2 linked regions of the Cricetulus griseus genome follow. The protein of the gene in region 1 purifies or fractionates together with the protein of each later gene. This does not show direct contact. Links are inferred from orthologs where the notes say so. Each region holds a gene or a part of one and is shown in the gene's direction. Other genes may lie near its edges.

Region 1 (16,463 bases):
AAAACTATTCCTATTTTTTGTTTTGTTTGTGTGTGTATGTGTGCTTCTCAAAGGGTTACCAAGTGCCTGTCCTTGGGACTCCATCTTTGTTGGGACAGTCATTATTACATGGACAGTTGATCCCCACAACTGGTAAGTAACATTATTTTGATTTGGACCCTTTTCCCTTTAGGAAATTATTAACAGTGAATCTAACATTCATTCTTTTTTATTTATAAGGTCCAGTAAGAATAAATGCTGCTCGTCCAGGTGGTGGTCGACCAGGTTGGGAACAGTAAGTACATATTCAGAATAACCTTCAGATACTTGCCTTTGACCTAAAAAGTAGAGACTACAAATTAGACAGAAGCTTGGTGAATGGTTATTATAAACTCCTTTAAATATGCCAGATTAACATACTTTTAAACGTCACAATTCAAATTTGCATCTCCAATTATTATCTGAATGAACAAATGTATTTGACACTTGAAAAACTTGGGGGCTAGAGACACTGACATCCATACAATTGAAAATATACACATAACTATGTTTGTGTCTGTCTGTGTGTGTGTTTGTGTCTGTGAGTTACTGGGAATTGAACCCAGGGATTTAGCATGCTAGGGAAGTATTCTGCCCTGGAGCTTTGCCCCCAGCCCATTACATTTAATTCTCCAAAGCTTTACTCATAGTCAGTCTCTTGACTGGCCTTCCCCCAGTACCATAGTTGATTGACTCCTTATATGTACTATATGTGGTGGAAAATGTATGATACCCAATTTAGCAAAAGTAAACCACACATGGAGATCATTAGTACCTCCCAGTGCTTTAGATAAATGCTTAGAGAGTAGAATTCCAGAGGCACCGTGTATACAATGATTAATTTTAACCAGTTTTGATCTAGTATTGCATCTTTGACTTTTCTTGGCTGAATAATGCTGTATATAGCCTACATAGGTTTAATAAATTTTAACTTTATGAGGTTAGATGCTTTGTGGCTTAAGAAAAAAAACAATAAAATGGACTTTTAGCAATATTTAATGTATTCATAACACCCTTTTCAATTCTTTACTATTTTCAAGCTACCTGGTCTGTCTACAAATTTTTCAAATTGTCATAAATCTAAAAAAAAAAAAAAAACCACAGTAAGTGTGCTCATAAAGTTAAAACTCATTTCAAGGTCACCTTGTAATTCTTTTCCAAAATAGTAAAATACAGATTGATAAGTCCATTTCTTCCTAAGAACATACGGATCTTGATAGGACCTTAGATTAGTGCGTTGATCCTATGTGTGAGTTTTCTATATTTTTATTTTCCTAAATGGTTGAACTCATCTTATTTGGATGGGCAAAATACAGTTTAGTAAGTAAACACATTGCAAGATTAATGTCTACCACAAGAGTTCCTCATTTTTTTTCTGGCTTGTTAATAGTTATTGAAATCTACAGGATTGTATGATTTTCTGCCCTGACACACAAAGAATATTAATGTCTGTAAGATGCTTTATGGCATTAAAAATTAGTAGATTTGGGCTGGAGGGACAGAGGACCTGAATTCAATTCCCAATACCCCACAGCCATCTGTAACTCAGCTCCAGGGGATCAGTGCCCTCTTCTGAAACTTCTAAAGCCACCAGGCATGCAAACATGCATGTTAGAGAAAATAGACTGAAGAGAGATTAGCAGAATATATCAGTAGAAGAACGTGAAATTTAGAGACAGACATACCTGAGTTGGCATCTGTTTACTGAGTATAGGACTGTGAGCGTGTAGGTTTCTCCTCAGCCACCTTTTTTTTTGTTTGTAGCACTCAAAAGCATGTAAAATACCTACATAGAGCCTTGCAAATTAAAGGTCCCTTTTCTAAACATTAAGTCTGTAGAGTGCTAATGAAAATATAGAATATTTTTTAGCTTAGATCTTTAGAACAATTTTAAGAATTCAAGATTATGAAAACATTTTCAAAAGTTAAAATTCTTTCAAGTATATGCACTGATAGGTTATATATTAAACTTAGAAATACTCAATTCTGTTTTTCTCTTTCTTCATCTTGCACAGTTCCAACAAGCTTGGGTACCTGGTTTCTCCACCACAGCAAATTAGAAGAGGGGAAAGAAATTGTTATAGGTAAGCATGCTGAAACTGTTGGAAAATAATTCCATGGCACACTGGGTAAAGAAGTAAAACACAGAAGTGATGAGGAAGGAGATATTTAAGTCTTTAGCAGTTGTCCTTAAGTAATCTAGGAACTAGGGGCTATATAGTTCAGTGATTAATTTCTGCCTAGCCTATGTTAAGTCCTAGGTTCAATCCCCAGCAGATGCAGTATAAAATCTCATTTGAAGTTATGTTTACAAAAACTGTTTATTGCTAAGTGTAGTGCACACATGTAATCCCAGCATTTGGGAGGCTGAGGCAGGCAGATTGTGAGTTGGAGGCCAGCCTGAATGACATACCAAGACCTGTCTGTGGAGGAAGGGCAGGAAGGTAGTATGGAAAAGCAGAATATAGGACAGACGAATTAGCACAATGACAAAAATTTAAGTCTCCATCTTTGGTATGTATGTGAACATGCATGCTTACAGAAGCCCATGGAGGGTGTCAGGTACCCTGCTCTACTATTCTCTGTCTTATTCTTTTGAGAAAAGATAACTCACCGAAACCGGAGCTAGACCACTAGGCAGCAAGCCCCAGCAGTCCCCTGTTACCCCTCCCAACACTGGGGTTACATATAGGCATGCATGGCCACACATTACTTTTTAGGTGGGTGTTGGGAGTTTGGTTGGGCTCAGTTCTGTGCACTTGTGCAAGCTCTCTTACCCACTCACTGAGCCATTTCTTTGGCCCATCGGGCTCTGTTCTTTGTATTGTTTCCAATGATTACTTGGTCTGTATCAGTACATGGCAAGATACAGCTTATGAAGGAAAGTTAGCCAGTTCAGCTCCCAGATGGGAAAAAGTATTGTGTTTCTTTCTGTCCCAACCTTCTTTTCCAAAAGAAAAGTCCAGGAGATTTGTTGGGGTTCTTACTCCCAGGAAGCCATAAGTTTTACTATGGTGGTGATTATTTAAATCAAGGTTCAAAGACTTCCAGATTTGTTAAGGCTATTACTGATCTTCTAGTGCTCCATTCAGAATTGCTAATCTTATGACAGTTAGATGCCTTTGTGACTAGATTGCATTAAAAGAAGTTGATGTGTACCAATTCATGGTTCTGAGCACATTTAACCCTAAATGCCTGCTGTTGCTGTCACATACCATTTGCTTATTGTATAAAAAACCATTAGCTTAACAAAAGCACACACAGATTCTTTGAGACAGTTCAGAAACTTTAGCACTGTTACTTCAGTTTATAAGGGAAAACATTGACATTTTCAGTTTTGATTACAAGTACTGGAATTCATATGATTCTGTTTTGTTTGGTCTTCACCCACTTCCTCCAAAAGGAAGTTACAGTGGTTTTTAATGTGAATTTTGGGTCTAGAAAGGCATTTGGGAGAGACCTAGATCACAGCCGTGTTAACCTGTCACTTCCTTCAAAATATGTTTCCTGTTTGTTGCTAAGTGACCTTAAAAAGTAGATCTTGGAGCTGGAGAGGTTTAGTGGCTAAGAGCATATGATGCTCTTGCAGAGGATCCACGATTTTGAAATACAGTTAGTTGAGAGATTTTTGTTCTGAGCAAGTTTTTGCTGTTACTCAAGCTGGTGTCAAAAGTGATTGTCCAGCCTCCTGAGTAGTTGGGACTGTAGACCTACATCACCATACTTGGCCTGTAGAGTTCATGTATACAAATACATCTTGATTTGAGTAGTTGATTCTATTCCATTTTTTTATACTTTGGAAAATAAGAACAGAAAAAGACAACCTCATTTGTCTCAGATGAATTTAATTTAAAGGTATAATACCTTGGAATTTATTTCTCCAGAAGTATAAACCGCGGGCGACACCACAGCGAAAGATCCCAGAGGACTCAAGGCCCATCACTACCAGCAACTCCCGTCTTTGTACCTGTTCCACCACCTCCTTTGTATCCGCCGCCTCCCCATACACTTCCTCTTCCTCCAGGTGTACCTCCCCCACAGTTTTCTCCTCAGTTTCCTCCTGGCCAACCCCCACCTGCAGGATATAGTGTCCCTCCTCCAGGGTTTCCACCAGCTCCTGCCAATATATCAACACCTTGGGTATCATCAGGAGTTCAGACTGCTCATTCAAATACCATCCCTACAACGCAAGCACCACCTTTGTCCAGGGAAGAATTCTATAGAGAGCAACGACGACTAAAGGAAGAGTGAGTATTTTCATTTGAAGTTGTCATACACTTTTTCATTTTCTGATACAACATTAAATAGGTATTTTGGAAACATTTTCCAGTGTTTCCAGTTAGTAAAGAAAGTTCACCTAAAATTTAAACCAAAGCCATACGAGCAACTTCGTCAGGGATACCTAGTTATTTATAGTTTTAAAGTAGAGAACTAATGGCAATTTCATTCATTTCATTCATGATCTAATTACATTTGTCTTGTTAGTTTTCTTAAATGGTTTTTGTTAACTTTCACTCTTTAACTTTATTTTACTAGGGAAAAGAAAAAGTCCAAGCTAGATGAGTTTACAAATGATTTTGCTAAGGAATTGATGGAATACAAAAAGATTCAAAAGGAGCGTAGGCGCTCATTTTCCAGGTTAGTGTTTTGCAAGCCTTCACAACAGAATTACAAATGGGACTTTGAATATCCAGGGATTACCTATGGATATAAATAACACTGCACTTATGAGATTTTTCTGATTCGGTCTAGTTTTATAGAATGGAGAAGATGTAGCTTATTCCCCAATATGTCCATTAAAATAATGTCTCAGTGTAAATTCTATTGTGTAGAACTAGCATTTGTGGGGACTAAATTGTCCTTGTCCCTTGAAGTTATTTATAATATGAAATAAATGGGGAATGTTTATGGAAGGAAAGACATAGGGAACTAGCCAGAGAGCATTCTGAGGGCCTTTGCCATAAAGCTACAGCTTCTTGCTGGAACATTAACCTGTGTGATTAAAAAGCAGTGGTAGAGTACACATTGTTGTATTGATAGAAAAAAACTGAATTACAGAAGTTCCCTGGAAGTTTTTTGTTTTTTAGACTTAAATTTAAAATGTGGTTCCTTTTAAAGCTAGACTGTTGGCTAGTGTAAGATAAAAATAGACTCCTAGCTTAAATAATCAGACAGGAAATTTAAATTTAATTGGCATTTGTTTAATGTTAATAAGCTCATAAAACTCTTGGTACATTAATGCACTCCACTGATTGTCAATACTTGCCTTTTGTTTTGTAACAAGTGGTTTATGTACTTTATTCCATTCCAGTAGAGGTCACTGTGCCTCTTTAATCATCTAAGTTGAAACTTGATGCAAAGAAAGATAAAACTGTTAGAATCTATCTGTTTTTATTTTGTATATATTTCTCAACCATCAACTGTGTTTTTGTTTTTAGGTCTAAATCTCCCTATAGTGGTTCATCGTATTCAAGAAGTTCATACACTTACTCAAAGTCAAGATCTGGCTCGACACGGTCACGCTCTTATTCTCGATCCTTCAGCCGCTCACACTCTCGCTCCTATTCACGATCACCCCCATACCCCAGGAGAGGCAGAGGCAAGAGCCGCAATTATCGTTCACGGTCCAGATCTCATGGATATCACCGATCTAGGTCAAGGTCACCTCCATATAGACGTTATCATTCAAGGTCAAGATCTCCTCAAGCATTTAGGGGACAGTCTCCTACTAAGCGTAATGTACCTCAAGGAGAAACAGAACGTGAGTATTTTAATAGATACAGAGAAGTTCCACCCCCTTATGACATTAAAGCCTATTATGGGCGGAGTGTCGACTTTAGAGACCCATTTGAGAAAGAACGCTACCGAGAATGGGAGAGGAAATACCGAGAGTGGTATGAGAAGTACTACAAAGGGTATGCTGTGGGGACACAGCCTAGACCCTCAGCTAACAGAGAGGACTTCTCTCCAGAGAGACTTTTACCTCTTAATATCAGAAATTCACCCTTCACAAGAGGGCGCAGAGACGACTATCCTGCTGGACAAAGTCATAGAAATAGAAATCTAGGTGGCAGCTATCCAGAAAAGCTTTCAACAAGAGATAGTCACAATCAAAAAGATAATACAAAATCAAAGGAGAGTGAGAACATTCCAGGAGACAATAAAGGAAACAAGCATAAGAAACACAGAAAACGAAGAAAGGGGGAAGAGAGTGAGAGCTTCCTGAACCCCGAGCTGTTAGAGACCTCCAGGAAATCCAGGGAGTCATCAGGTGTTGATGACGCTAAGACAGATACATTGTTTGTTCTCCCAAGTAGAGACGATGCTACACCTGTTAGGGATGAACCAATGGATGCAGAATCTATCACTTTCAAATCAGTATCTGAAAAAGACAAGAGAGAAAAGGATAAGCCAAAAGTAAAAAGTGACAAGACCAAACGGAAAAGTGATGGATCTACTACAACCAAGAAAGAAAATGTTTTAAAACCTTCTAAAGGACCCCAAGAAAAAGTAGATGGGGAGCGTGAAAAATCTCCTCGGTCTGAACCTCCACTTAAAAAAGCCAAAGAGGAGGCTGCAAAGACTGATTCTGTAAAACCTTCATCATCGTCTCAGAAGGATGATAAGGTCACTGGAACCCCCAGAAAAGCCCACTCTAAATCTGCAAAAGAACACCCTGAGACAAAGCCAGTCAAGGAGGAGAAGGTGAAAAAGGACTGTTCCAAAGACATCAAGTCAGAAAAGCCAGCTAGTAAGGATGAAAAGGCCAAGAAGCCTGAGAAAAATAAACTACTTGATAGCAAGGGAGAAAAAAGAAAGAGAAAAACTGAAGAAAAGAATGTAGATAAAGATTTTGAGTCATCATCAATGAAAATTTCTAAAGTAGAAGGAGCTGAAATAGTGAAACCATCGCCAAAGCGAAAAATGGAAGGTGATGGCGAAAAGCTAGACAGGACCCCAGAAAAGGACAAGATTGCATTATCAACTGCCCCAGCCAAGAAAATTAAACTCAACAGAGAGACTGGGAAAAAAATTGGAAGTGCAGAAAATACATCTACTACAAAAGAACCCTCTGAAAAAATGGAGTCAACATCTAGCAAAATTAAACAGGAAAAAGTCAAGGGAAAGGCCAAGCGGAAAGTAGCTGGAACTGAAGGCTCCAGCTCCACACTTGTGGATTACACCAGGTATGGGGGCCTGGGGGGCAGGTGTCCTTTTTGGGCAGTGATATCCTTTGATCTTATACACTTATGTTCTTGAGAGCCTGGTTCATGGCAATTCAATAGACTAGCCTAGTAGCAGCATAGTTTCAGGCTAGGTTATAACAAGTTGGATGAACCACATTGGTTTTTATAGTTTGATCATGTGTGTGTTTCTTAGAGCATAATTTAATTTTTTTAAAGCTAAAAAAGACATCCTATTTTAAGCTGGCTTTTCAAATTTTTATTTATCATTAGTAAATTTCTCATTAATTAAAAGTATATTCATTTATTTTAGTACAAGCTCAACTGGAGGCAGTCCTGTGCGGAAATCTGAAGAAAAGACAGATACAAAGAGGACAGTCATTAAAACTATGGAGGAATATAATAATGATAATACAGCTCCTGCTGAAGACGTTATAATTATGATCCAGGTTCCTCAGTCCAAATGGGATAAAGATGACTTTGAATCTGAAGAAGAAGATGTTAAATCCACACAGCCTGTACAAAATGTAGGGAAACCATCTAGTATCATAAAAAATGTTACTACTAAGCCGTCCGCTCCAGTCAAGTACACTGAGAAAGAAAGTGAGCAGTCAGAGAAACTTCAGAAGCTCACCAAAGAGGTGAGCCACGAAATGACGCAGCATGAAGTCAAAAGCTCAAAAGGCTCTGCATCCAGTGAAAAGGGGAGAACCAAAGACAGGGAGCACTCGGTGTTAGAGAAGGAAATCCCTGACAAGAGAAAGAGCAGTGCCCAGCCAGAGAAGGAGAGCACCTCAGACCGTCTGAGTGAACAAGGAAATTTTAAGAATCTGTCTCAGTCTTCCAAAGAGACCAGGACTTCGGATAAACATGAATCTGTTCGTGGTTCCTCAAATAAAGACTTCACTCCTGGAAGGGACAAGAAAATAGACTATGACAGCAGAGAGTATTCTAGTTCCAAGCGAAGAGATGAGAGAAGTGAGTTAGTAAGAAGGAAGGACTCTCCTCCTCGAGGTAAAGATTCTTCATCTGGACAGAAAGGTAAGCCGAGGGAGGAGAGAGATTTGCCTAAAAAGGGGACAGAGTCCAAAAAAAGTAATTCTAGTCCCCCAAGAGACAAAAAGCCTCATGATCATAAAGCCCCCTACGATACCAAACGCTCATGTGAAGAGACAAAGTCTGTAGATAAAAACTCTGGGAAGGAACGGGAGAAGCATGCTGCTGAGGCTAGAAACGGGAAAGAGTCCAGTAGTGGTGGCAAGTTGCCGTATATACCTAACCCACCAGACCCTGCAGTTGAGAAAGAAATGGTTGCTGGACAGATTGATAAGAGCACCATCAAGCCAAAACCCCAGTTCAGTCATTCCTCTCGTCTTTCCTCTGATCTAACTAGAGAGACTGATGAGGCTGCTTTTGAACCAGACTATAACGAGAGCGACAGTGAGAGTAACGTGTCTGTGAAGGAAGAGGAAGCTGTGGCCAGTATCTCCAAGGACTTGAAAGAGAAAACAACAGAGAAAGCAAAAGAGAGCTTGAACGTAGCAGCAGCCATCCAGCCAGGTGCAGACAGGAGCCAGAGTCAGAGCAGCCCCAGTATTAGTCCAAGTAGAAGTCACAGCCCTTCTGGCAGCCAGACCCGAAGCCATAGCAGCAGTGCCAGCTCAGCAGGAAGCCAGGACAGCAAGAAGAAGAAGAAGAAGAAAGAGAAGAAAAAGCACAAGAAGCATAAAAAGCACAAGAAGCACAAGAAGCATGCGGGTGCAGAGGCCGACGCCGAGAAGAGCCAGAAACACAAACACAAGAAGAAAAAGGCAAAGAAGAGCAAGGACAAGGACAAGGAGAAAGACGACCAAAAAGCGAAATCTGTCACTGTGTGAAGGACGGATGTTTTAATTGACTTAATTACTAAGTCATCTGTATTAAACTCTGTTATAATGTAAAGAGATTCCAGCCTTGTAAATAATGAATGGAAGACCCTGTGCTGCACTTAAAAAGTATTTGCTGCTTGATTATTTCATTTTTACATCAGAGCTTTATAACGAACTTTTGTACAGAATTGTGAGCTGTGACCATGGAACATGAGAGGTTTTGCTAGGGCCTATTATTTTTAACCACCATTAATTAGTTGGGGTGGAGTTTACTGTACTGTGAAATTTTCACATTTGAATTTTTTTAATTGCCTGGCAAATGCTGGTATCAGTTCAAAAATATCAGCAGAATGATTTGCTGAACTCATTACAGCCCCGTTATGTCACTTTTTGATTACAATAAAAGTTTTCAGTAAACTTCTTACATGTTGAAGATGTACATTATTTAGAGACAATAGTGTCTCATTTCCTCTCTTTCCAATATCCTTCCAGCCTTTATAGACAGAATTCTAAACATTCCAAATGTACTTCAGAGGGGGCTGGTAGAAAATCCTCATTTCTGATAATTAGAAGTTGGGTTTCGGGGGCTAGAGGTTAAGAGCACTGACTGCTCTTCCAGGGGTCCTGAGTTCAATTCCCAGCAACCACATGGTGGCTCACAAGCATCCGTTATGAGATCTGGTAACCTCTTCTGGCCTGCAGGCATACATGCAGATGGAACACTGTATATATAATAAATATATCTTTAAAAAAAAAAGTTGGGTTTCTAAAAAGGGGATGGGGTGCTTTCATCTTAGAGATGAGGAATTGGGCCTATTTTCTAGCTGTTTTGTATTTTTTGTTTTGCATTTCCCCTTGGAATTCTGCTACATTATGCTAAATTCCTTGAAGAAACAGAAATCATTTAAGCCAAGTGGTTTTGTCTGTCCTCTCCCCACTGACAAAAGTAAGTGGTCATGAGACTAGCCTCTCCTCTGCTGCTTTAGGAACCCAGTGATGGCACCAAACTCAGGTCCTGTGTAAGAGCAGCAAGCACTGTTCACCACCATGCCATCTTTCCAGCTCCTGAGAGCTGGTGTAAAGGAAATTAACACAAGTGCCGAGGGTATGAAAGCCATCCAGGCCCAAGTTCATTTTGGAGATGCTGCCTTTGAGCCCAAATACTTTTGGTGATGGCTCTCTCTGCCATAATGCCAGTGGCACTTGTTTGTCCCCACATATGCCTGATGTCTGGAGTGGCATGTCCTGACCACTCCTGCCTGCATGCCACTTAAGCTTTGAGATAATCCAGCTAGATTATACTCTTAATTCTGGCTGATCAGATCTATAACTTGATCCTGTTTCCCACATCCATTGTAGATTTGGTACACAGAACCATCCTATCTGATCTGAGTTTCTCACATTGGGCTCATTCTTTAAGCTTAGCTGGCCTGCACTTGAGTTGCAGCCCACTCCTGTGACAGTTTCCTGGCTACTGACCATGTGAAGGTGTTGTTCCTTTGCAATTATCAGCACTTGTCCAGCTTCATCAGTTAGTGTTTGAACTCCTTAGTCCTTTCCATTATTTTCTTGTGACCTATACCTTTTCATATGTCAGCGTCCACAGAACCTATGCCTGCTTAACAAAATTGAAAGCCTTGACTTTCAAACACTCAAAAGCTGGAGACCTGGCTCAGTGTGTTAAATGCTTCCATAAGCCTGAGGACTTGAGTTTGAATGCTGCAAACCCAAGTAAAGCCAGGACCACATATGCATCTGTAATCCCAGTGTTCTTACAATGATGAGATGGAGGGTAAAGATCAGAGATTGTCCAGAAGCTTGTGTAACTGTATGTGGCAAACAACAGACACTGACTCCAGGTGGAAGAGAAGGTCCAACCCCAGGCTTGGCCTTTGACCTCCATTCACATCAAAGACATTTTATTTTGTATGTGACTATATAGGTGTAGAGATTGGAGGACAACTTGAAATAGCAGCCAATAAAAAGATTTTTGCTTTTTAAATTACTATTTGATCTTTTTGTGTGCATACCCCCATCCCAGTACACCGAAGCTCTTCATCTTTTAAACTGAAGTTAGTCATTAAGGCACTTTCCTCAACCGAGAGGCACACCACCTGAGAGGAATTGTGCCATTAGAGGGCAGAAGCAGCTACTGACGGTGGTGCTCTCAAACAGCAACGCTCCCTCTGTCCACAGCTTGTTAAGCTATACAGAAGCACAAATAGCCATTTGATTTATAAAAGTTAAATGTCGCTGACAGCAAAACAAAAAATGCCAATGCAAGTTGCATTATCACTGGGTGACGGTGGTGCACGCCATTAGTACCAGCACTCAGGAGGCAGAGACAAGAGGATCTCCCTGAGTTTGGCCTCATTGCACAGAGAAACCCTGTCTTGAAAAACAAAAACAAAAAAGTTTCATTGTCTTCATAATTGGATTTGGGAAGGCCCAAACCAACACATTGGTGCACCTCTCCCCACATCCATTCAAGTAAAATTTTACCACTGGCTTAAATCAAAATGGCCCTGCACAATGCTTATGTATAAAATGTCTAAAGTTGAGAACCAACGAGATGGCTCAGCATCATTGAGTTGCCTCAAAAGCCTGATAACCTGAATTAAATCCCTGGGGCCCACATAAAGGTAAAGGGCAGAACAGACTCCATAGACCTTTCCACCTGTACTTGACATTCACGAAGCCCCTCCACACACATGATAAGCACCACAACAATAAAGACAATATAAAACACCTCAAAATTGAGTCATTTGCTAAAGTAAGGTTCCTCATAAAATTTTATTTTATTTTATTAAAATCTCTCATTTTAGAAAATGGTTAGCAATGGATCCAAGAAATATGGCTTCCTCTCAGTACTTTCAAATGAACCAAGGGTTCCATCTATCTTACTTTTCTCTTCCCAGTTGGGTTATTCCTGCTATAGCTTTTTTCTTCCTATTGAGCAGAAACAGGCTGTCCCTCTAATCTTTCCACAAAGCTACCATCCTGCCAACTCCTGGGAATTCACTCTGGCCCTACGAACCTTCTCATCAAATTGTTGTCATCCACCCAGGAGTATCTTTTTTTTTTTTTTTTAGGTATTTTTACTTTGCTTTTTTTTGGGGGGGGGGGGACCTGAAAATAGATTTTTTAATACAATATATTCTGATTACACTTCCACCTCCCCCAGCTTCTTCCAGCTCCTCCTCACATCCCTGCTCACCCAAATCCACACTCTTTCTCAGTCTCAATAGAATATAAACAGACATTAAAAATAATAATAAGATAAAATAAAAATCAGACAAACAGAGCTAGGACAGAACAGTGTCATCTCTCGTTGTTTGGAGTAGGGGATGCATGCTCTAGCAAATCTCTGATTAGGTTTCTCAGATGGTAAAAATGTCTAACCTGTAATTTCAGAGATTCTCTTACCCCTTGGATTCTGTATAAAAATTATCTTCAGTCATACTTAGAGAAATTCTTTACTACCACTTCTGATATAAAGAGTTCAAAGCCATTTGACTAATCCATTTCTTTACAGGATTTTTTGTGGCACTTCCTTTTATTCTAAGTACATTTGTTTTTACATTTTATTTTTGTAACTGTGTGTGTGTGTGTGTGTGTGTGTGTGTGTGTGTGTGTGTGTGTGTGTACAGGCAAATGCATGGGATGAGGGTGGAGGGGAAACCAGTGGACAGTGTCCACCATTTGGGACTCAGGGATCGAAGTCATATCCTCTAGCTTGGTGGTAGCTAGCTAACTACCTTGCCAGCCCTACCTTTGTTTCTGAGTTGTATAAAACATCTGATGTCTTGATCTCCATGGGGAATTTGATCATCATCATGATGTTAGAGTTCAAGGTGCCAGAATTACCAGAAGAGGGCATCAGATCCCCTGGAACTAGATGGTTGTGAGCTGCTGTGTGGAAGCTGGGTGTTTTGCCTACATGTATGTGTAGGTGCCAGGAGAGGTCAGAAGCGGGTATCATCAGATCCCCTCGGACTGAAGTTGCATAGAGTTGTTAGCTGTCATGTGCTCTTAACTGCTGAGTCATCTCTCCAACCCTTTTTTTTTTTTTTTTTTTTTTTTTTTTTGGTATTTTTTTGTTTGTTTGTTTGGTTTTGGTTTTTTTTTTTTTTTTTTTTTTTTTTTTTTTCGAGACAGAGTTTTTCTGTGGCTTTGGAGGCTGCCTGGAGCTAGCTCTTGTAGACCAGGCTGGTCTCGAACTCTCAGAGATCCGCCTGCTCCAGCTTCCTGAGTGCTGGGATTAAAGGCGTGCAGTACCACCCCCCGGCTTTGTTTTTTTTTTTTGGCAAGGGAATGTTTCATGTCCCCGAACCACCTGCTGAAGAACTAATATTTGCCCTGCTGATATTTTCCAAAATCACCCGATAATTGACATAAAGATTTATGTCTGGATTCTCAGTTTTATACTATTGATTCCCATAGATAGACATATAAATAATGGTATGTATATATGTCTACAGATATTTACCTATGTACCAGTTCCACTGTGTATGGGATGTTTTAAAATTAGGAAGTGTGACTTCTCGGACTTTGTTCTTAAATTTTTAAAAGATTTATATATTTTAAAAAATGTTTTACGTGTTTGGTTGTTTTGCCTGCATATATGCATATCACATGTATGTAGTGCCTGCAGAGGCCAGAAGAGGACGACATGTCCTCTGGAACAGGAGTTATAGACGGTTGTGAACCACGGTGTAGGTGTAAGGAACTAAATTAGGTTCTCTACCAGAGTAGACAGTGTTTTGACTGCTGAGCCACCTCTCTGGCAAGTGTTCTTATCACTGAGCCACCTCTCCAGCGAGTGTTTTAGAAATTTTTAGAGACTGTTTTGGTTATTCTCAGTCCCTACCATTTCCATAAAATTTTAGGCTTGTCTATTTCTGAAAAAACAATGGCTAGGATATTACTTTTGATGCTATTATAAATTGAGTGGCTTTTAAAGCTTCATTTGCCTTTAGTTTAAAAAAAAATACCTGTGTGTGTGTGATTGCATGCACATACCATGGTAAATCAAAATGCAATTTTCAGAAGTTAGTTCTCTTTTTCTACCACGTGAGCCCAGGGATCCAGCTCAGATAGTCGCCCTTGGCAATAGATCCCTCTTCTGACTGGTCATCTCTCTGTCAATGTCTTCAAACAGTGCAGGATTTTTACTTGTAAACATGCTTCTTTAAGGTTAAAGGGCTTGAAAACCCAACAGAACAAAAAACAAAACAAAACAAAAGAGGTTAAAGGGCTGTCCCAGCAGTTTTGGGGACCTGGGTTCAACTCCCAGCACACACCTGGTGGCTCACACCACTCTATAACTCCAGTCTCAAGGGATATGACTGCCTTTTCTGGCCCCTGAAGGCACCAAGCACACATGCGGGGCACAGATATACATGCAGACAAAATGCTCATACAGATAAAAATAAAAAATAAACTTTTAGAAAAATAATACTTCTTTCTACTCATTTATAAAGTATTTGTAATTATGGAAGGATGCTGGATTTGATCAAATGCTTTTCCCAAAGCTTTTGACATGGTCATGAGGGTTTCATCCTTATTTTGTTAACAGAGTATTGTTTCATTTGCTTTCTTACGTTAATTTAAGTACATTTCTGGGCTAAATCCCACTTGTGTATACACACACACACACACACACACACACACACACACACACACAGACACACACGGAATAAAATAAAAGTCAATCCTGAATTCAGTTTGCTGGTATTTTCCCACCTATAGAGCTATTGGTTTCTGGTTTTCTGTACCACTGTTTTGGTATCGGGCTCATGCTGTTCTCATAAAACGAGTTTGAAAGTGTCAGTGATTCTTTTTGAGTTAATATTTATGCATAATGCAATGTCCTGGTCAGGGGTCTCCTTTGGCATATGAAAATTAGTTGTGTTGTTGCCATTTGTTTAAAAGGATCTACTGTATCTGTTGTGGTGCCCCTTCTGTTGTTGGCCATTGGGTCTCTCTATGAACTCTCTGGTCCCCTTATTTTTCATGTCTTTGCATTTGCACTGTGATATATTGATTCTTTAATCCTCCAAAATTAGTTTTATTGAAAGTTTTATTCTTATTTTCTACATCCTTTACTTTTCTATGAATTTTAGAATTGATGTCTCAATATTTTGATTGCAATAATGTGTATAATACAATATTTCCCATATTAGTCATTTTTAGATTGCCTGTCACAATGTTTTTATGAACACTGGAGGATGGAGAGATGGCTCAGTGGTTAAGAGGGTTTGCTGCTCTTTCAGAGAATCTGAGTTCAGTTCACACCACCCAAGTCTGCCAACTCACAACCACCTGTAACTCCAGTTCCAGGACTCCCTCTTCTGGCCTCTGAGGGAGCACACATGCACACACACACACACACAGAGGGACATATACACAAATAAAAGTCAATCCTGAAAAAAACATTCACACTGACATACACACATAGACAATATTGACCTTTAGAACTTTCTCATTCCAAGTGAAACTCTCTTCCCATTAAAGAACTCCTAAGCAAATTGAGAGCACGGTCAGGGGTGGGTGGGGAGGGAGGGAGGAAAAAGAGAAGGGGAGAGGAGGAGGCAGGACAAGAGGGATCAGGAAGACTAAGTCAGGGGAGGAATAGAAGAGAGCAAGAAAAGAGATACCATAATAGAGGGAGCCAGTATAGGTTTAAAGAGAAATCTAGCAATACGGAAATGTTCAGAGATCCACAAAAATGACCCCAACTAAGAATCTAAGCAAGAGTAGAGAGGCTACCTTAAATCCCCTTCCCCAATAATGAGATTGATGACTACCTTAAATGCCATCCTACAGCCATCATCCAGTACCTGATGGAAGCAGAAGCAGAGATCCACAGCTAAGCACTGAGCCAAACTCCTAGAATCCAGTTGTAGAGAGGGAAGAGGGATGAGCAAAGGAGTCAAGACCGTCCTGGAGAAACAGTTGACCTGACCTAGTGAAAGCATAGGGACCCCAGTTATAAAGCTGGGGAACCAGCATTGGACCAAACCAAGCCCTCCGAATGTGGGTGTCAGTTGGGAGGCCTGGGCAGTCTATGGGACCTCTAACAGTGGAACCAGTGTTTATCCCTAGTGCACAAATGAACTTTGGGAGCCCATTTCCTATGGAGGGTTACTATTGCAGCCCAGATACAGGGAGGAGGGCCTAGGCCCTGCCCCCAAAGGATGTGACAGACTTTAATGATCCCCATGGAAGGACTCACTATCCTTGGGAAGTGGGGTGGATTGGGGGGGGGTGTTGGGAGGACATGGGAGGATGGGGGGAGAGGGAATGGGGAGGGGTAATTGATATGTAAAATAAGATTGTTTCTTAAAAAAAAAGAATTCTGTTTTCCCCTACTCCAAGCTCCCGGAAATCA
Region 2 (16,463 bases), on another chromosome or scaffold:
ACATCTGCCAGCCCAGCTCCCTAGTATCAAGTGTGGCACAGAATGTCTGTGTAGCTGCTTCAGGTGCCTGCTTACTCACTGACCCTAAAGCAAAATCAAGTCTTGGCCACTCAGCCAGATACTGTTCTGACTTCAATACGTGTGTGTGTGTGGGGGGGGGGCTGTGGGGTGGGGTTGGGTGGAGTGGTATTGTCTTTGGGGACAGAGGCTGGTCCTTTTCATTCTTTCCTGAAAACAGTCTCAAAGAATTTGTCATTTGCTAGGCTTGCAATTCTCAGGTATGAAACTAAGATTTGGATCCAGTTGAACAAAACTGTTCTGGACCCTGGGGGGAGGGGTTGTAATATGAGGTGTGTCTCATCTAGTCACTCATCTGTTGTTCAGTGTTGTGTGCTTATCAGGGACCAGGATTGTTGTCATTTCCACGTTCTGCCTTCTCTTTTAGGTTATTCTGCTTCTTTCATTATCATTATCTTCTGAGTTCCTGTGGTATTTGTTTCTTTGTTTTTTCTCTTTTCCTTAGCTCCTACCTAGTCTTTGATAAGACCCTCTGTAAGTAGCCATCCTCAAACATACGACATAAGACAAGTTGCAAGAAGAGAACCTCTCTGCCTGTCTAGCCCAAGCTGATTCATAAATAGAGAAAGCCATGGGAGTTCAGACAGTGACTAGAGTTGAGACTGTAGCCTTCCTCTGGATTATCTGGACAGTGTAGGTCCTGGTATTGTGCTATAGTCTGCCCTGCTGTTAGAAGTCCAGCCTTTCATCCTCTTTGGGGTTTACCAACAGACTGAACCCCATCAAGCACTGTGGTTCCTGAGTTCAGTACACACTGAACGAAAGCAGCTTAGTGCACACAAGCATCAACTTGGCATGAACAAAATGACTCCCCAATGCTGGCATTAATGTTCTGCATTAAGCTGAGTTTTCTGTTTAGTCTATAAATTCCATTTCAATGTGACCAAAAACCCTGAGTGTATAAGGGCTCAGATGAACTCTACAGATGAATGTGCTGCTCTTCTCATAACTACTTTCAGCATAGTAAGGGGTTAGCCAAGAGATGTTCTGAAGCCAGCAGCCCTGGCTCTGGGCTTGCTGTAGAGACTCCCTCTGGGTGTGTCGTCCTAAAATTGAGGCATCTGACCTAACACTGGCCCTCTTCAACTTGTTAGAACACTATTTTTCATCTTCCCATTCAAAACCAAGCCATAAAAGATTAGCCCCTGCCTATAATCTAAATTTGCTAATCAGTTGTCATCTAACCCTTGATGTTTGAGTGCTCAGTTGAGGAAGCTGGAGTAGGGAATGGTGAACTACATAGTGTTCACTACCAGTTGGTTACCTATGTTTATTTTTATGTGGGTTTAATGTTTCACCAGTGGTTCAACCTGCAGGATTCTAGGCTTATCGTGTCACTCTCCTTAAGAGGGGGGGGGGAGACACTGAGACTGTACCTGGCAAACATGTGTTCACACATGCAAACCTCTTGTCCCCTTTACTAACTATCTTGCTGTTTGCTCATGGCAGCAAAAACCCGGGCAGCTGACCTGTTGGTGAACCCTCTGGATCCACAGAATGCAGATAAAATTAGAGTAAAAATTGCTGATCTGGGAAATGCTTGTTGGGTGGTAAGTAGAGTTTTCTTTTTACATTTTAATGATGATATTGTGTGAGAACATGCTTCTTTTAAAACAATATGTATCACCTCTATTCCATTCCAGCATAAACATTTTACAGAGGACATCCAGACTCGGCAGTATAGGTCCATAGAGGTTCTGATCGGAGCTGGCTACAGCACACCTGCAGACATCTGGAGTACAGCTTGCATGGTGAGGACCCCTTTGTTATGTTTTTATTTAAAGAGAGGAAAAGAGAAAGCTGAAGGATGAGACATGTTGACTAGTTTATTATATGGGCCTGGCAGAGTAGGAAGACTAGGAGAAGAGGAACAGGGGTAATGGTTGACTGCCATAGCCGGTCGTCATAGAGGCAGAGAGAGTGCATAGGTGAGAGAGAGCCAAGAAGAAACAGAGGAGAGTAGAGAGGAAGCAGAGAGAGAGAAGCGGGAAGTTGGGACTTTTAAAGGGAAGACTGCGCATGCGCACTTAGGTTCCACGCATGCCCAGAGTCGTCATGGGTGACAGGTGACGTAGTGATGACGTAGAACGTTTTCTTGGGCATGCCCTGACTGTTCAGGGGTCAGGGTCTGTCTCTTAAAGAGGTAGAGCCAATCAGCATCAAAGCCTGAACCTTTCACTCTTGCCACTCTTCTTTCCCTGGAAATGACTTCTGGTGGATCCTCTTGATGAGTGGAATCATGCTGGAGATTTATAAAGTGGGGGAGGAGAAGATTGTGCTTGGGTGTTACAAGCATTGGAAGAATTCTCCTCAGATATGCTAGAGGTATAGTCTGTGACAGATGGTCTCTTCTTTGGGCACCGTGCAGCCCAGTGCCCCAAGAATCAGACTTCATTGGAGGAATTGCTTTTAGTTTCTGGAAGTTTTCACGTGTATCAGGCTCCCTGTTACACTATGAGGTAAAGCCAAATGCCTTCTCACACGAGTGGGGTGACTGTACTTAAAAGTTTGTACCACTGGAAGGTGGCCTCTCCCAGAGGTCTTGAGATTTCTCCATCTGCCAGTGCACAGTTGCTTTTATTGTAACTCAAATGCAGAGAGTTCTGCCCCTTTTTTTGGCATGTGCTTGCTTTCCTGAGACAGCATTGGTGGCACAGACTTCCTGGGTTTGAGTCTGTTTCCCTGGAACACAGTGTTGTTTTCCTGGAGGCAGCAGGAACATCCCTTTGATTTGAACATTCTGAATTTTTGTCTTTGTAAGCTAAACCCAGACTCACCACACATCATGCACACAAGTACACATGTGTATATAGCTGCGTGCACATATGCATGCATGTGAGTGTAAAAGACAGGTCATCCTTGGGTGTTACTCTTCAGTCATCCACCTTGTTTTCTTGAGACAAGCTATCTCATTGTTCTAGAGCTCTTGGTTAGGTTAGGCTGGCTGCACTGAGCACCAGGGCTTGTTTGTTTCCACCTCTCTAATGCTGGTTTACAAGCCCATGCTGCCATGCCTGGCCTTTGTGTGTGTAAGTTCTGGAGATCAAACTCATGGGCTTCCATGGTAGACACTTTAACAACTGAGCCATTGCTTCAGCGCAACTCTTTTTATTTGTCCCATTTTTAAAATGTAGTCCAGACTGGTCTCAAAACTCGTTTCCTGAGTGCTGAGGTTACGACATAGCTACTGCACCAGGCTTTTGTGTACCGTTTGCTATTTGCTCTGATCTGAATTGGTGACCCTGAGTAGGTCCTCACCTGTGAGCTAATACCAGTTTGTCTTTCACTGAGCATCCAGCCAGTTCAGCACATTCTTCTCACTGGGCTTTTGTTGTTCTTTGGTAGAAAAGGTGGCATGCGTGTGTTCATGTAGCTTCCAGTGCTGCCATGGCTATCCTATAGTATTGCTTAAGTTTTTTGTAGTTCCAGGGATGGAGCCCAGAGGTTCACCCCCACTAGCCAAGTATGCAAGGCTTAGTGCTCACCTTCTGAAAGGGCAGGTAGGAGGGAGCAGAATAAATATGATGGTTACCTGTTGTTCAGAACTTAATTTAATCACTGTTTTGAATCTTCTGTATTTTATGTCCAGTAGTGCTAATATAAAGCCATTTTAACTATTTAAAAACTTTTGGCCAGTTGTGTTGATGCACACATTTAGTCTCAGCACTTGGGAGGCAAAGACAGGCAGATCTCTGTGAGTTCGAGGCCAGCCAAGGCCACACAGAGAAACCCTGCCTTGAAAACCCCCTCTCTATCTATCTATTCATATTCATATTCATATTCATATCTGTGTGTCATTATGCATGCCTGGTGCCTGTGGAGGTCAAAAGAGGGTGTCTCATCCCCTGGGACTGGTGTTGCCACTGAGCTGCCGTGTCTATATTATTCTAGAAGCTGAACCTGGGTCCTCTGCAATAGTAGCACATGCTCTTAACTGCTGAGCCATCTCTCCAGTCCAATGTAAAAGCATTTTGTTAAGCAGATGATACAGGGTGATGTGAGAAACATGAGATGCTTTTCATCTTTCAAGTTATCACTATCTGAAATTATTGATGTGGCCTGGCCAGACATGAAACACCATGCCTTCCTAGACTCTTGTTCTAGTAACTCCAGAAAATAAATGTAAAATTATTAAAAACTTTTGTTTTTCAATAAGAACCTACAGTCAAGTTCTTAGTGTTTGAAAGAAGCTACCGTCCATGTGATAGGTACTTCCTTTTGAGGATTTGTGTGGAGAGGCTTTTGTTCTGCAGTTTGAGGGTAGAGGAAGTAGAGGCTAAAATTACAGGAGGCAGAGGCCAGGTCAGAAGGAAATGACTTCCTTGACAGAATGGGCAGTGTGTGTCTCCCATTTCAGGCTGTGGCAAGGCAAATTGCTATTTGTCCTCAGCAATACAGAAGGCCGTGGGTCAGGAATTCTGTGTTACCTCTTTGTACATAGGTGTCCTTGTCCAAATAGGGGAGGGAGCTCTTGTGTCTCCCTGGTGAGTCCTGGTTATCAGCAGAATGAAAAAAAAAAAAAACAAAACAAAACTTAGGACAAATTATTGTCACGTGTATTTGCTTCCTCCTCCATGGCTTGTTCTCTAGGAAGAACAGTGACTTCACTCACAACCTTGCAGGCTTGTTCCTTTGGAAAGCTCCCACCGCAGTCACTGGACTGACAAAAGCCTCCAGCTCTAAGCACCCCCAGAACTGACAACAGACAGGACCCAGGGAAACAGAAAGAGACTCCAGAGTTGCCTAATATTGAATACAAACAATAGAACTTGACATAGAGAACAGCTTAGTCAGTAGGTGGCAATAATGTTTCCTGTTTCCACAGCTGCTAGCATTAAACATGTGTTTTCATTGTCACGTGTGTTTACCCTGTTGTCTGTTGTATTAAGAAAGCTAATCACTCTTTCTATCCAGGGAGCCATTCTCCCTTTCTCTTTTTCTAATTCTCTCTCTTTTTTTGTTTCCCTCTTTAAAAAAGATTTATTTTATGTGTTTGGGTCCTTTGCCTGCATGTATATCTGTGTACCACATGTAGGTGGATTCCATGGAGGCCCGAGGAGAATATCAGATCCTATGGAACTGTAGTTACAGACAGTTGTGAGACTACCATGTGGGAACTGAACCCTGGGCCTCTGCTCTTAAGCAGCCAGTGCTATTAATCCCTGAGCCATCTCTCCAGCCCCATCCTCTTCTTCTTCTTCTTCTTTTTAAATCATTTCATTGATAGCCTTCTCTAAGCACTACATTGGAAACCTGAGTGCTGTTCAAAACAACCATCTTTTAAAGGACATCTGTCTTTGCCCATCTCAATGTTGGGCAAAGAGAAGTAGCCTCAATGAAAAGGGTGAGCACAAGCCTCAAGAGGGACTAACTCGGATGGAAGGTTTTCCTTGGAACCAGGATCCCAGTAGCTTCTAAAGTCTCTTCCATCCTGTTAGAATTTCCAAATTTCCCTCCTGATTTGCAGGTTATTGACTTATTTTACCGGCATGAGACATTCTCATCCACTTGGAATTGGGGCCAAATGAAAAGTTTTCTTTATCATATTGGTCCAGCTGCCATGCTTGTTAATTTGGTGGCTAGGTGTGGGGCCCCACCAGAGAACCTCTGTGCACTGTGCCCTTGTCCTTGCTGTAGCTGTAATGCTGGGCTTCTGGGCTGTCTTCTGCTGAGATGACTATCCAGTGCCCTGTTAGACCCAAGTCTGCTTCAGGACAGGTGTCCTGAGTTTATACTCAGCACAGGGGCAGCTGATCATAGTTTTCTTGTCTTGCTTTCCTCCTTCTCAGTCAGGATAAAATTCATGTCTCAAGGGTATGTGGCTGCCCTGTTTGTTAGACTACTGTTACCTGGTAAATAAGCCTCAAGGAGCCTTCTCAGCATTCTGGCCATCAGAAGGGAGAGAGGGAGGATGACTAATGCTGGAGATGGCTCTTCAGCAGCAATGGGAAAAGCAGTCAGTCTCACAAAAAGGAGAGGTATCAGCATGGTCACCTATTCACAAGCATCAGCAAGCAGGAAAGGCTACCACAGTAGCATTAAATCTGGGAGAAACTAGAAATGGGAGTTAACCTTTAAAAGACAATTGATCATCAGCACAATAGCAAGTGCTGTCTTTGAGCATCTTACAAAATCAGACTCCTGGTCCTAAGCCTTTTTTTATGAGCAAAGGAAGTAGAAATGAGTGGGCTTTTCTTCACGCTGATGTTCTGAGAGATAGAGTATAGCAGCATGAGAGTTCTGTTCCCTGCCATCTAAGAAGGGCCTGCAGGGGGATTTGCTGCATCTGGTAGAAGAGAGAAAGGACTCTTGGTGCTAGGTGCTCCTCTGCTTGAGAGATGAGCAAGCTTATGATGACCAAGATGCTGGAACTAGTCCTTGATCCTAAGTGCTTGAAGAAAGCACAGCAATATTGCTCTAAGGGGCCTTGGACTCACAAAGGCCTGCTTGAGTCCTGAATTTAGCCTTATTTCACTCTGTGTAGAAGCTGTAGTGTGCAGTGACCAGTGCTGCTGCTGTTCTTTGCAGGCTATAGAATCTTGACTGGACCCTGTAAAGGATCTCAAGGGAGCTGGTACCCCAAAAGATCCTGAATTCCACTTCCTACAGTGTAAAAAGAGCTGTGCCCCTTCCCTCTCCCATTAGAAGACATGTGAAAATATCCCTGCAGCTTCTGTGATCTTTCTGGAAAAAAAGGAAAACTAGGGGTTGAGCTGTTCTGGGATGGTCTTTAGTCTGCTTGTGGTCCTCTGCAAATGTAGGCATCCTCTAATAAAGAGCTTCTGGCTCTTGAGCCATCTCTGATGTGCTCAGCATGTCATCTGTTGTGTCCTAGGCATTTGAGCTGGCAACAGGAGACTATTTGTTCGAACCGCATTCTGGGGAAGACTATTCCAGAGATGAAGGTGAGTATTGTTGCCCACTGAGTACATTGATGTGGTTCTGTGCCTCCTCAACTTCTAGAGAGGATTGTATTGAAACGAACCCACGTTTTGGTTTTCAAACACCAAATTCAGATGCTTTTCCTTTGAGTTTGAAGCCCCCTCAGTGCCAGTGAGTGGGCAGCACCCAGCTGACAGAGCTTCCCTGGTCTCCTGGGAGAAGGAAGCCCACTGGTGGATGACGACCAGTTCCTGAGCCCTAAGGGCCACTCTGTGATTCTTTTGTCCACAGCGGCTGCTGCCCATTTTCTGTCCTGTTTGGGAGCTCACTTGACAACCAGGGAATTCAAACTTGAATCCTCTGTAACCTGACCATCTCCAGGCTTCCTTGCTTGCAATGCTGGGGTAGCCTGCAGTCACTGATGGGGCTCCAGTTGGTGTCTGAGGCCTGCCAGTCCCAGAAATCTCTGCATGGTTGTGCTGCAGACATTGTTGGTTTGAATCTATTTCTGATTTTTTACTAATTTCACTTTTCCCCTCTTCTTTTATCCCATCCTTCCCTTTGCCCTCCCTGTTCCTATATCCTTTTTTTTTTTTTTTCTCTCCTCATAGACCACATAGCCCACATCATAGAGCTGCTAGGCAGTATCCCAAGGCACTTTGCCCTGTCTGGAAAATATTCTCGGGAATTCTTCAATCGCAGAGGTAGTACCTCTTCTCTTTGAAAAGCGCCACGATGCAGACAGAAATGGGAACGCTGCAGGAGCAGCGTTCATGGCGACCAAAGCATTTCTTCTAAATTCCAAAAGCAGCTGAGCAGAGTATCTGTGCCGGTGCAAATGTTGAAGGAAGACTGAGTCTGGCCTGTGCTGGCCCTGTGAAGTGGCCCCTTCTTGGCGCTCAGGACAGCTGTATGCTCTGTAGCTTTGAGTTCTCAATCAGCTGGACAAAGGCTGTCATTGGTCATTCGGGTCGCGCTCCGTTTCTGTCTGCGCGGGCAGTGATAGTGTCTGCATGCAGTGTACTGATTAAACTGTCATGTGTTTCTGTTTTGCTGGCAATGTTTCCCAATGCAGATCACATAGCATTGATCATTGAACTGCTGGGGAAAGTCCCTCGAAAATACGCTATGTTGGGGAAATATTCCAAGGAGTTTTTCACCAGAAAAGGTAACGGTATTTACGCAACCCTAATTTTCAGCATAATCCTCTCCCAAAAGGAGAAATTGTGCATTCATGTTTGAGCAGTGGAAAAGATCAAGACTTTGCAACTGGGGAATTCTGCTGAAGAAGGTACTCATAAAATAATCTGGAACCACCTGGTATCTGTGGAGTAAGACATTTGTGAGAAAACGGGCTTCCAACAATCCTTTCTCAACCCTTCTATATATTCAAATATTTGTAGAAAGGACTTCCAGTGAGTTTTGGGAAAGAGCTAGATTCAGCTGGGTATGATGGCTCATATCTGTAATCCCAGCACTCAGGAGGCTGAAGTTGGAGAATCAATAATCCAAGGCCAGCCTAGATTATAAACAAAGTTAGACTTCTCTATCTATATTGGGTTTCATAGATACCCATGGACATTTTCTTGGATATGTCTGAGCTATTGGCATCATGTAGGCCTATGAAATCCTGTGGACATAACCACATACCGTTCTTTCTGTGCTGTTGTGTTAGGCAATGATTGATTTTAATGATGTTGTTCTCACTGACCGTCCCTTGGCTGTGACTCTGAACAGTTGTCATTTGTAGTTCCTAGGCAATATCAATGCTTAAAAATACCTTAAAGCCCCAAGGGGCTCCCCTCACCCTAAGAAAATGAATCTTCAGAAAAAGCTATGAATCTTTAAAATTCATGCTTGGGAGGTAGGAAGGTGGGGGATTCAGGGTTATCCTCAGCTACATAAAACATTAGAGGTTAGCATGGGCTACATGAGTTTTACAAAAAATCCTTCCTAGGTGCTAATATCTCTTGAGCCTATTTGGTGGTGTTAATTGTTTTTACCAGCTTAGGTTCAGTTTTGTTTATATCCTTCTTTAAAGAAAGTTTACTTGAGGACTGGGGAGAAATCTAGTTGGTGAAGTGTTTGCTGTACAAGCTTGAGGAACTGAGCTCAATCCTACTACTTACATAAAAAAGTCAGATGTGTTAGTGTGTGCATGTGTAATCTAGGTACCAGGAACACTGCACTTTAGAGCCCTGGGGATCTAGCCAGCCAGACTAACAATGTCAAGCCCCAGGCCCCAAGAGAATGGACTCAAAAGAAGATAAGAGCTCCTAAGGAACAGCACCCTTGGTTGTCCTCTAGCCCTTCCATTCACCCCCTATGAACATGTGTACACACACACACACACACACACACACACACACACACACACACACTTACACTCACACACTCTCACACGCACCCACACTCTCTCTCAGCTTGAGTAGGACATGGAAAGTCCAGTCTAAGTTGTTACATTGTAACTCCCCTACCATTCTCCCACTCCTCATCTTTCTCTTTAAATTCTATTTCCTTATTTACTTATTGGGGACATCAGAAGACACCTTTGCAGTTTCTTCTCTCCTTTTAATAATGTGATTCCTGGGGACCAAATTCAGCAAACCTTTTTACCTCTTAAGCCAACCATCTCACTGGTTCCTCCCTCCCTCCTCTCCCTCCCTCCCTTCTCTTTCTCATTTAGTTATTTTGTGTGTGTTTGTGTTTTGCTTACAGTATGTACATCACATATGTACATGGTGCCTATAGAAGCATCAGATATCTTGGAACTGGAGTTATAGTTGTAAGCTGCCGTGTGTGTGTGTGTGTGTGTGTGTGTGTGTGTGTGTGTGTGTGTGTGTGTATTAGCCTAGTAGCTTAGTAGCCCCACATTGTGGCATCAGTCTGTAGTAATCCGCCTTTGTGGGTCTTCAGTGGGATCTAGCCAACTTGCCTAGTTCGTGCCTGAGAGGGAGAGTGTGGCTTGAGAAAAGGCAGGTAAATACACTAAGGAAAAGACAGAGACACAGAATAGAGTCAGGAGGGCAATCCAGAGAATACCGAATGCCCCAAGTTTATTCTTCAACATTCTAATACACCCCAACCAAAAAGGAGAAAATGGCAAAAGACTTCTTTATTAATATACAAAGAAGAAACAGACTTTCTTCCTTAGTTCTCCAAACATTTAGTAACCACTCCTTAAACTAAATCTCATTATCTGGCCTTAAGGGTTGAGTAATCACACCTTAGATCAAGTCCCCTGTTATTTCGATAAGACCAAGACCAAATATCCTACAGTAGCCATGCCTTAGACTTTTAGTTCTTATGACTTTAACCTTGGAAGAGTAAGGATAGTTTTGAACTCTCTGACCTTAAGCCAAGATGAAGGGAAACCATCTTTTTTTTTTTTTTTTTTTTTTTTTTGCTTTTTCGAGACAGGGTTTCTCTGTGTAGCTTTGGAGCCTATCCTGGCAGTCGCTCTGGAGACCAGGCTGGCCTTGAACTCACAGAGATATGCCTGCCTCTGCCTCCCGAGTGCTGGGATTAAAGGCGTGTGCCACCAACACCCGGCCAAGGGAAACCATTTTTATGGGCCCTGACACATGGGTATTGAGAACTGAACTTTGGAAGAGCAGCCACCAGTGTTCTTTAACTACTGAGTCATCTCTCTAGCTCCCCCACCCCCACCCCAGACACACACACACACACACACACACACACACACACACACACTCTTTCTTTCTTTTTTTTTTTTTTTTTTGATTTCCTGATCCTCTAGCCTCAGCCTTCCCTGTAGGCAGAGTTTTCCTGTCCTGGAAACTGCTTCCAAATTACCACACAGTGGCTTATATAAATTATAAATCCTTGGACAATAGCTCAGGCTTATTTCTAACTACCTCTTTTCTAGTTAGCCCATATTCCTATGTATACTCTGCCACATGGCAGTTCCTTTATTAACATGGCATGTTCATCTCCTGTTCCCTCTGCCTCTGACTGGCCACTTCTCTGACTCTGCCCTTCCCCTTCCCATCATTCTTGGTTTGGCTTTCTCACCTAGCTGTATGCTGTTCAGCTATTGGCCAGTTAGCTTGTTTATTAAACCAGTCGCTGTGACATAGATTCACACAATATAAAGGCGTATTCCACAGGCTGCAACCATAGGCATGCGTCACCATGCCCAGCTGTGCTCTTAGGCTCCTTAGGGTTTGTAGCTGGTCTGGAACTGTAAGGCATTCATTCGGTATCTATTGAATGCCTTCTAGAACTAACAGCAGCCATGGCACATCTTCATACTCATTTGGAAGAGCTCACCTCAAAGGACAGTTGGTAAATGATGAGCTGCATGATTCCCAGGAGATGTGCTTGTCCTGTGGCTTTGTTTACTATGGGCACATTTCACATGTATGGCCCTGCTCCCAGGACATTTGTGGGCATGGTGTGTCTACAACCATCTTTAGCACTTGTTCTTTAGGAATTAAGTGCTTGGGTTTTTTTTTTTTTGAGCCACTTGTTTGAAAGTGATTTACAAAAAGAAAGCTAGTGTATTCTATGTTCCCACCCTCTGTCTGTCTCAGATTATGAAAACAGTTTCACTGGTCTCCTTTTTAAGACTTATTTATTTTGTGTATATTTTATGCAGTGTTTTGCCTGCCTGTATATGCACATGTGTGCCTTGTGTACAGGGAAGTAAGAAGAGAGCATCAGAGCCACTTGGAGTTATGGATGGTTATAAGATGCCATATGAGTACTAGAAATCAAACCTGGGTCCTCTGTAAGAGTAACAAGTGCTCATAACCACTGAAACATATCTGTGGTTCCTTGTTTTTAACTCTTGATCCTCCAGCCTCAATCTCTCAAATGATGGGATTATAGGTTTGTACCACCATGCTGTGGTACATTCTTAACATTCTTTTTAACGGGAGACCAAAACCGTTGTGATTTGGTGTTACTGTGGTAACTAGAATGCTTTTCCCTTCTTTTGGACATGAGAGACTTTGTAATGAGGCCAGAAATCCCTTAAGAAGACCAGGAGTTTGGTTTTCCGGCCTCCTTTTGTGGTGGTTGGTTGGTTGGTTGGTTGGTTGGTTGTAATTGCTATGGCAATTAGAAAACGTTTGGACATGGACAGATGTACAGCAATAGTAGGAGGAGTGAAGACTTGTCATCAAAGTGTGTCTGTGAGAATGAGGACATCATTTTGTTTTGGTTTTAAATAATAGGCTTTGTAGACCCAGCTAGCCTCAAACTCATGAAGTTCCACCTCCCTGTGTCTCCCAAGGGTTAGAATTGAAGGCATATATCACTATGTCCAATGTACAATTTCTATCCATTCCATTTTAAAATCAAGCATCAGATGCAGCTGCCTAGTGTCTTTCTTATTCTGATTGTAGAAGTTACAACCAGTACTAGTTTGAATTACTCCTTGGCCAGAGGTTAAAAACTGAACTGGATTTTGGGACAAGGAATGTGGTTACTCAACATCACATTAATTTGCTGGTTATTTTCTTGGGTGTGGACATTACCCATTGATACCATTAAGAAACTAGAATTTGCTCAGTGTGACATACAGTAGTGAGGTTGGAGAGTCACTTCGAATTGAAGGCCAGCCTGGGCTACATAGTGAAATACTTTCTCAAAATGAAGACGGGAGGAGAGTACTGTTAAGATGTGTCCCAGTAGTAATCAGCACCACTCTGGATTTTGTTCCTTATTTGTTCCCTAGAAGTGAGTGGCAAACTCCTGGGGATTGGTGAGTAAATCAGTTGTCCTCGGTCTCTAGGCTGTGTTCTCTTGACCATCTATAGCCACTGTTTTAGTGAATTCATTGTGTCAGAAATGGATTCATCAAAGGGGGATAGGTTACCTAAACTTATTCTCACATAGGGCACCAAGTACATTGGGATCATCGGACTGTGCTGTGCACAGATGTATATCAATCTTAACTTCATTAAATTCAGGGCCTACCAGATTTCTCACCAGGTAAAACCTGTCTGTCAACCCTCCCACCCCCCACCCCAAGCCAGATGGCCTGAGGTTGACCTCAGGACTCAGGTTAAGGAGAATACCTACTGTTGTACCTACTCCTGTATGGCACATGTGTTCACACACACACACACACACACACACACACACACACACACACACACACACACACACACACACACACACACACACACCCCGATATTTACACATGCTGCAGATGTAATAAAGGGGCTAGAAAGATGACTCAGCAGGTAAGAGCGCTGAATGCTTTTGTAGAGGACCTGGGTTTAATTCTCAGCACCCACATGGTGGCTAACAACTGTCTGAAATTCAGGTTCCAGAGAATTCAATGCCCTCTTTCGGCCTCCGTGAGCTCCAGGCACACAAGTGGTGCACAGACATGCATTCGAGCAAAACATTCATACACAGAAGAAAACAATGTTAAAAAAATTTTTTTAAAGACTTAATGAAATTCAACTGAATAGGTCAGAAGTGCAGCAAAGAAGTTTCCATGCAACAATACACATCTTGATGTCGGGACCACCATCCTATCACTGATAGGGAGGGAGGGAGGTGAATTTTTTTTTTTTTTTTGGTTTTTTTTTTTTTTTTGGTTTTTTTTTTTTTTTTTTTTTTTTTTGGTTTTTTTGAGACAGAGTTTCTCTGGGTAGCTTTGGAGTCTATCTCCTGGCACTCGCTGTGGAGACCAGGCTGGACTCGAAGTCACAGAGAGATCCGCCTGCCTCTGCCTCCCGAGTGTTGGGATTAAAGGCATGCGCCACCAACGCCTGGCGGGAGGTGAATTTTTTAAGAAATATACCACCACAAGGATTTCCTGTAAGCATCTCAGGCTGATCTCACACTCTAATAGGGGTGTTATTAGTCTACCTCATATTCGTATCTTTAAATATTTGAACTGAAACTCGAATATGTTTTTAACTTAGCTTCCAGGGATCCCTGAGAAGTAGGCTGACCTGTGAGAACCGTGAGGAGCACAGGCTGTAGACTCCAGCGTGCAGGAGCTGACAAGTTTCATGCTGGCACTATTTTGCTCAGCTTTCTGGGTTTCAGGTTTTTAAAGACTCAAAAGATTTTCCTGTCATTACAATTTTATATCTGCACAGAGTGTGGATATCACAAAACTTTAGGAACCTAAAGAGTGACTCTGGGAGAATGGACATAGTCATCCCTTGAAGCTTTCTGTGTTAGGTTGACTCAGAAACAACTAAGAGCAGAAAGAAAACAAATAGACAAAAAATCCTAGAGAAGTTCAAGTGTGGCCACTCTAGTACCCTCCTCTTGCTCACACAGTCTTCCCTGGCAAAAGGAGGACAAAGGGCACTGAGACAGTAGAAGATGGGTATGCGTGTGGATGGGTATGTGTGTGGATGGTTTAACAACATTTACTGTAGGCTGTGCAGATGATTGTAGGTGGTTTTGTTTGTTGTTGTTAAGACTTTTCTGTGTGAGTGTTTTTTTTCTTGCATGGATTTATGTGCACCATATGTGTGCCTGGTGCCGTTCAGGTACCCTGGAATTGCAGTTACAGATAGTTGTGAGCCACCGTGTGGATACTCAGAACTGAACCTGGATCCTCTACAAGAGCAATGAGTGCTCTTAACTGCTGAGTTTCTCTAGCTCTGGTTGTAGGTTTTAAGAAGTGTTTTGGTACTCATTTCAAAGTTGTATGACCAAAGCAGTGAGATTACTATAACTTTGAAGTAATTTCTATTATACAAGGAGAGTATCCCTTGTCCAAAATGCTTGGGACTGAAAGTGTTGTGGATTCCTGATTTCCTCAGATTTTGGAATATTTACATAGATAAGTTGATCTTGATGATGGGACACAAGCAAACATGAAACTCATTTCTATTTCATGAACAGTTAGTTGTACATATGAATGCCTCTTGTTACATGAGATCCAGTGTGTAATTTTCTTTATCATGATGGTGCTCAGAGTTTCAGATTTTGAACTAGTGATGTATAACTTGGAGATGCTCCTGTCCCTACTGTGTGCTTTTCTCAGTGACATAGTGCAACTTTTAGTTTCTCTTGTTCCATATCCAATAATTCAGTCAGCAACAAAGCAGAACTACATTTATTTAAAAAGAAAATGTTATGTACTGTTTTCTTTGTCCCTGTCCCCAATGAGTAGAATCTATTTGCATTGTGTTCAGAGTTAGAGTGTAGAGGGGAGTGGTGTGTGCAGTAATGCAGATCTCTAATCCATCATTGAGGATATGGAAACCAGAATATTGCCAATTCAAGCTCAGTCTCGGCTACATAGTGAGAACCCTGTCTAAAAAAAGAAAATAAAAATATATGACAATGGACTGTGTGTGACTTTGTGGTGTGTGGAAGTTATGTGCAAATGCTGTGCTGTGTTATTTAGGAGATTGGAATACTATTGGATTCTGTGTGGAGAGAGATGAATGTACTAAGTTTGGTTTCCCTTAAAGGAAAAAGCTGGTAGGTACCCTCGGTGAGTTCTTCTGTTCTGGCAGACAGTGCTTGCCAGCATTTGCATTCACCTGGAGACTTACTTATGATAAAACAGATTGTCAAGAAAGTTTCTTCTTTTACCAGAGAATGTGCCTCAGTGTCATGTGTGAACTTCAGTCAGTCTTAACTGTTGGGGAGGGACAGCTGTCTTCATTCTGTGGTTAAGCCACTGAAAATGTACCTGGGAGGTGTTTGCTGCCTGCCTAGACAGCTGAGTTCTAATGTACCTGCTTTCCATGTTCATCAGTGTTTTTTGTTTGTTTGTTTTGGTGTGGTTTGTTTTGTTTTTTGAGGCAGGGCTTCTCTGTGTGGCTTTGAAGTCTGTCCTGGCACTTGCTCTGTACACCAGGCTGGCCTCAAACTCACATAGATCCTCCTTCGTTTGTTAATTGGTATTTTTATGTCAGTCCCGTGACTGTCTATGGAGCATAGCTTTGGGACTTTTATTACATAGCATCACACCAGATGATTCTTGTTAAGCAGATTAAACTCGTTGAATGTATATGTTTTAGTTATTTGGCCCTTAGCCACCATCTTAACCCTGATCTTACTTGATTGCGTCCCTAGGGCTAGACTTTTGAGGGGCTTGGGGGATTAACCTTCAATGATTGTTCAGATTTGTTTCCACATTTTTTAAATTTTCTGTATGATATGTGTGGTTGTCCTGTGCCACAGCTCAAGTGTGGGAGTCATTTCTCTCCTTTCTGTTCATGAGTCCCAGTGGTCAAACTCGGATCATCAGCTTGGGTTGTTCAGTAGCAAGCTCTTACCCATTGAGCCATCTAACTAGCCTTTGGACCTGATTTTTACAAACTGTTTTTATTTGAAGCCCTTCCTTTTCCACGAGTAAAATTACAGATCCATTTCCTTAGTAAATTTAGAGATCTGATCTCCAGTAGCGAAGCAGGACTTACCTTTGTTCCTTAAGGTCAGCAGCTTGTTACCTCACCTTAACTAGGAACCATCCCAAATTTTCTTTCTGGAATCCTGCGTACAGCATGGTGATAATTCTGTAGAGAGCTAAGAATGGCCACTGA

Evidence for each region.
Region 2: the proteins of Rbbp6 (region 1) and Srpk2 purify together in Homo sapiens (affinity purification with mass spectrometry; 4 studies listed by BioGRID and IntAct, with this or other methods). This does not show direct contact. The link is inferred for Cricetulus griseus from reciprocal best matches to the Homo sapiens genes RBBP6 and SRPK2.

Annotation. Positions count from the first base shown.
Region 1 is NC_048596.1:77,703,093-77,719,555, reverse strand, and holds the end of Rbbp6 (E3 ubiquitin-protein ligase RBBP6), read left to right. Parts: intron 1-53; coding exon 54-132; intron 133-219; coding exon 220-274; intron 275-2,033; coding exon 2,034-2,102; intron 2,103-3,902; coding exon 3,903-4,265; intron 4,266-4,554; coding exon 4,555-4,656; intron 4,657-5,456; coding exon 5,457-7,205; intron 7,206-7,515; coding exon 7,516-9,079; 3' UTR 9,080-9,494; downstream 9,495-16,463. UniProt on the Homo sapiens protein: E3 ubiquitin-protein ligase which promotes ubiquitination of YBX1, leading to its degradation by the proteasome.
Region 2 is NW_023276806.1:171,092,114-171,108,576, forward strand, and holds part of Srpk2 (SRSF protein kinase 2), read left to right. Parts: intron 1-1,527; coding exon 1,528-1,628; intron 1,629-1,721; coding exon 1,722-1,829; intron 1,830-6,913; coding exon 6,914-6,983; intron 6,984-7,571; coding exon 7,572-7,664; intron 7,665-8,035; coding exon 8,036-8,128; intron 8,129-16,463. UniProt on the Homo sapiens protein: Serine/arginine-rich protein-specific kinase which specifically phosphorylates its substrates at serine residues located in regions rich in arginine/serine dipeptides, known as RS domains and is involved in the phosphorylation of SR splicing factors and the regulation of splicing.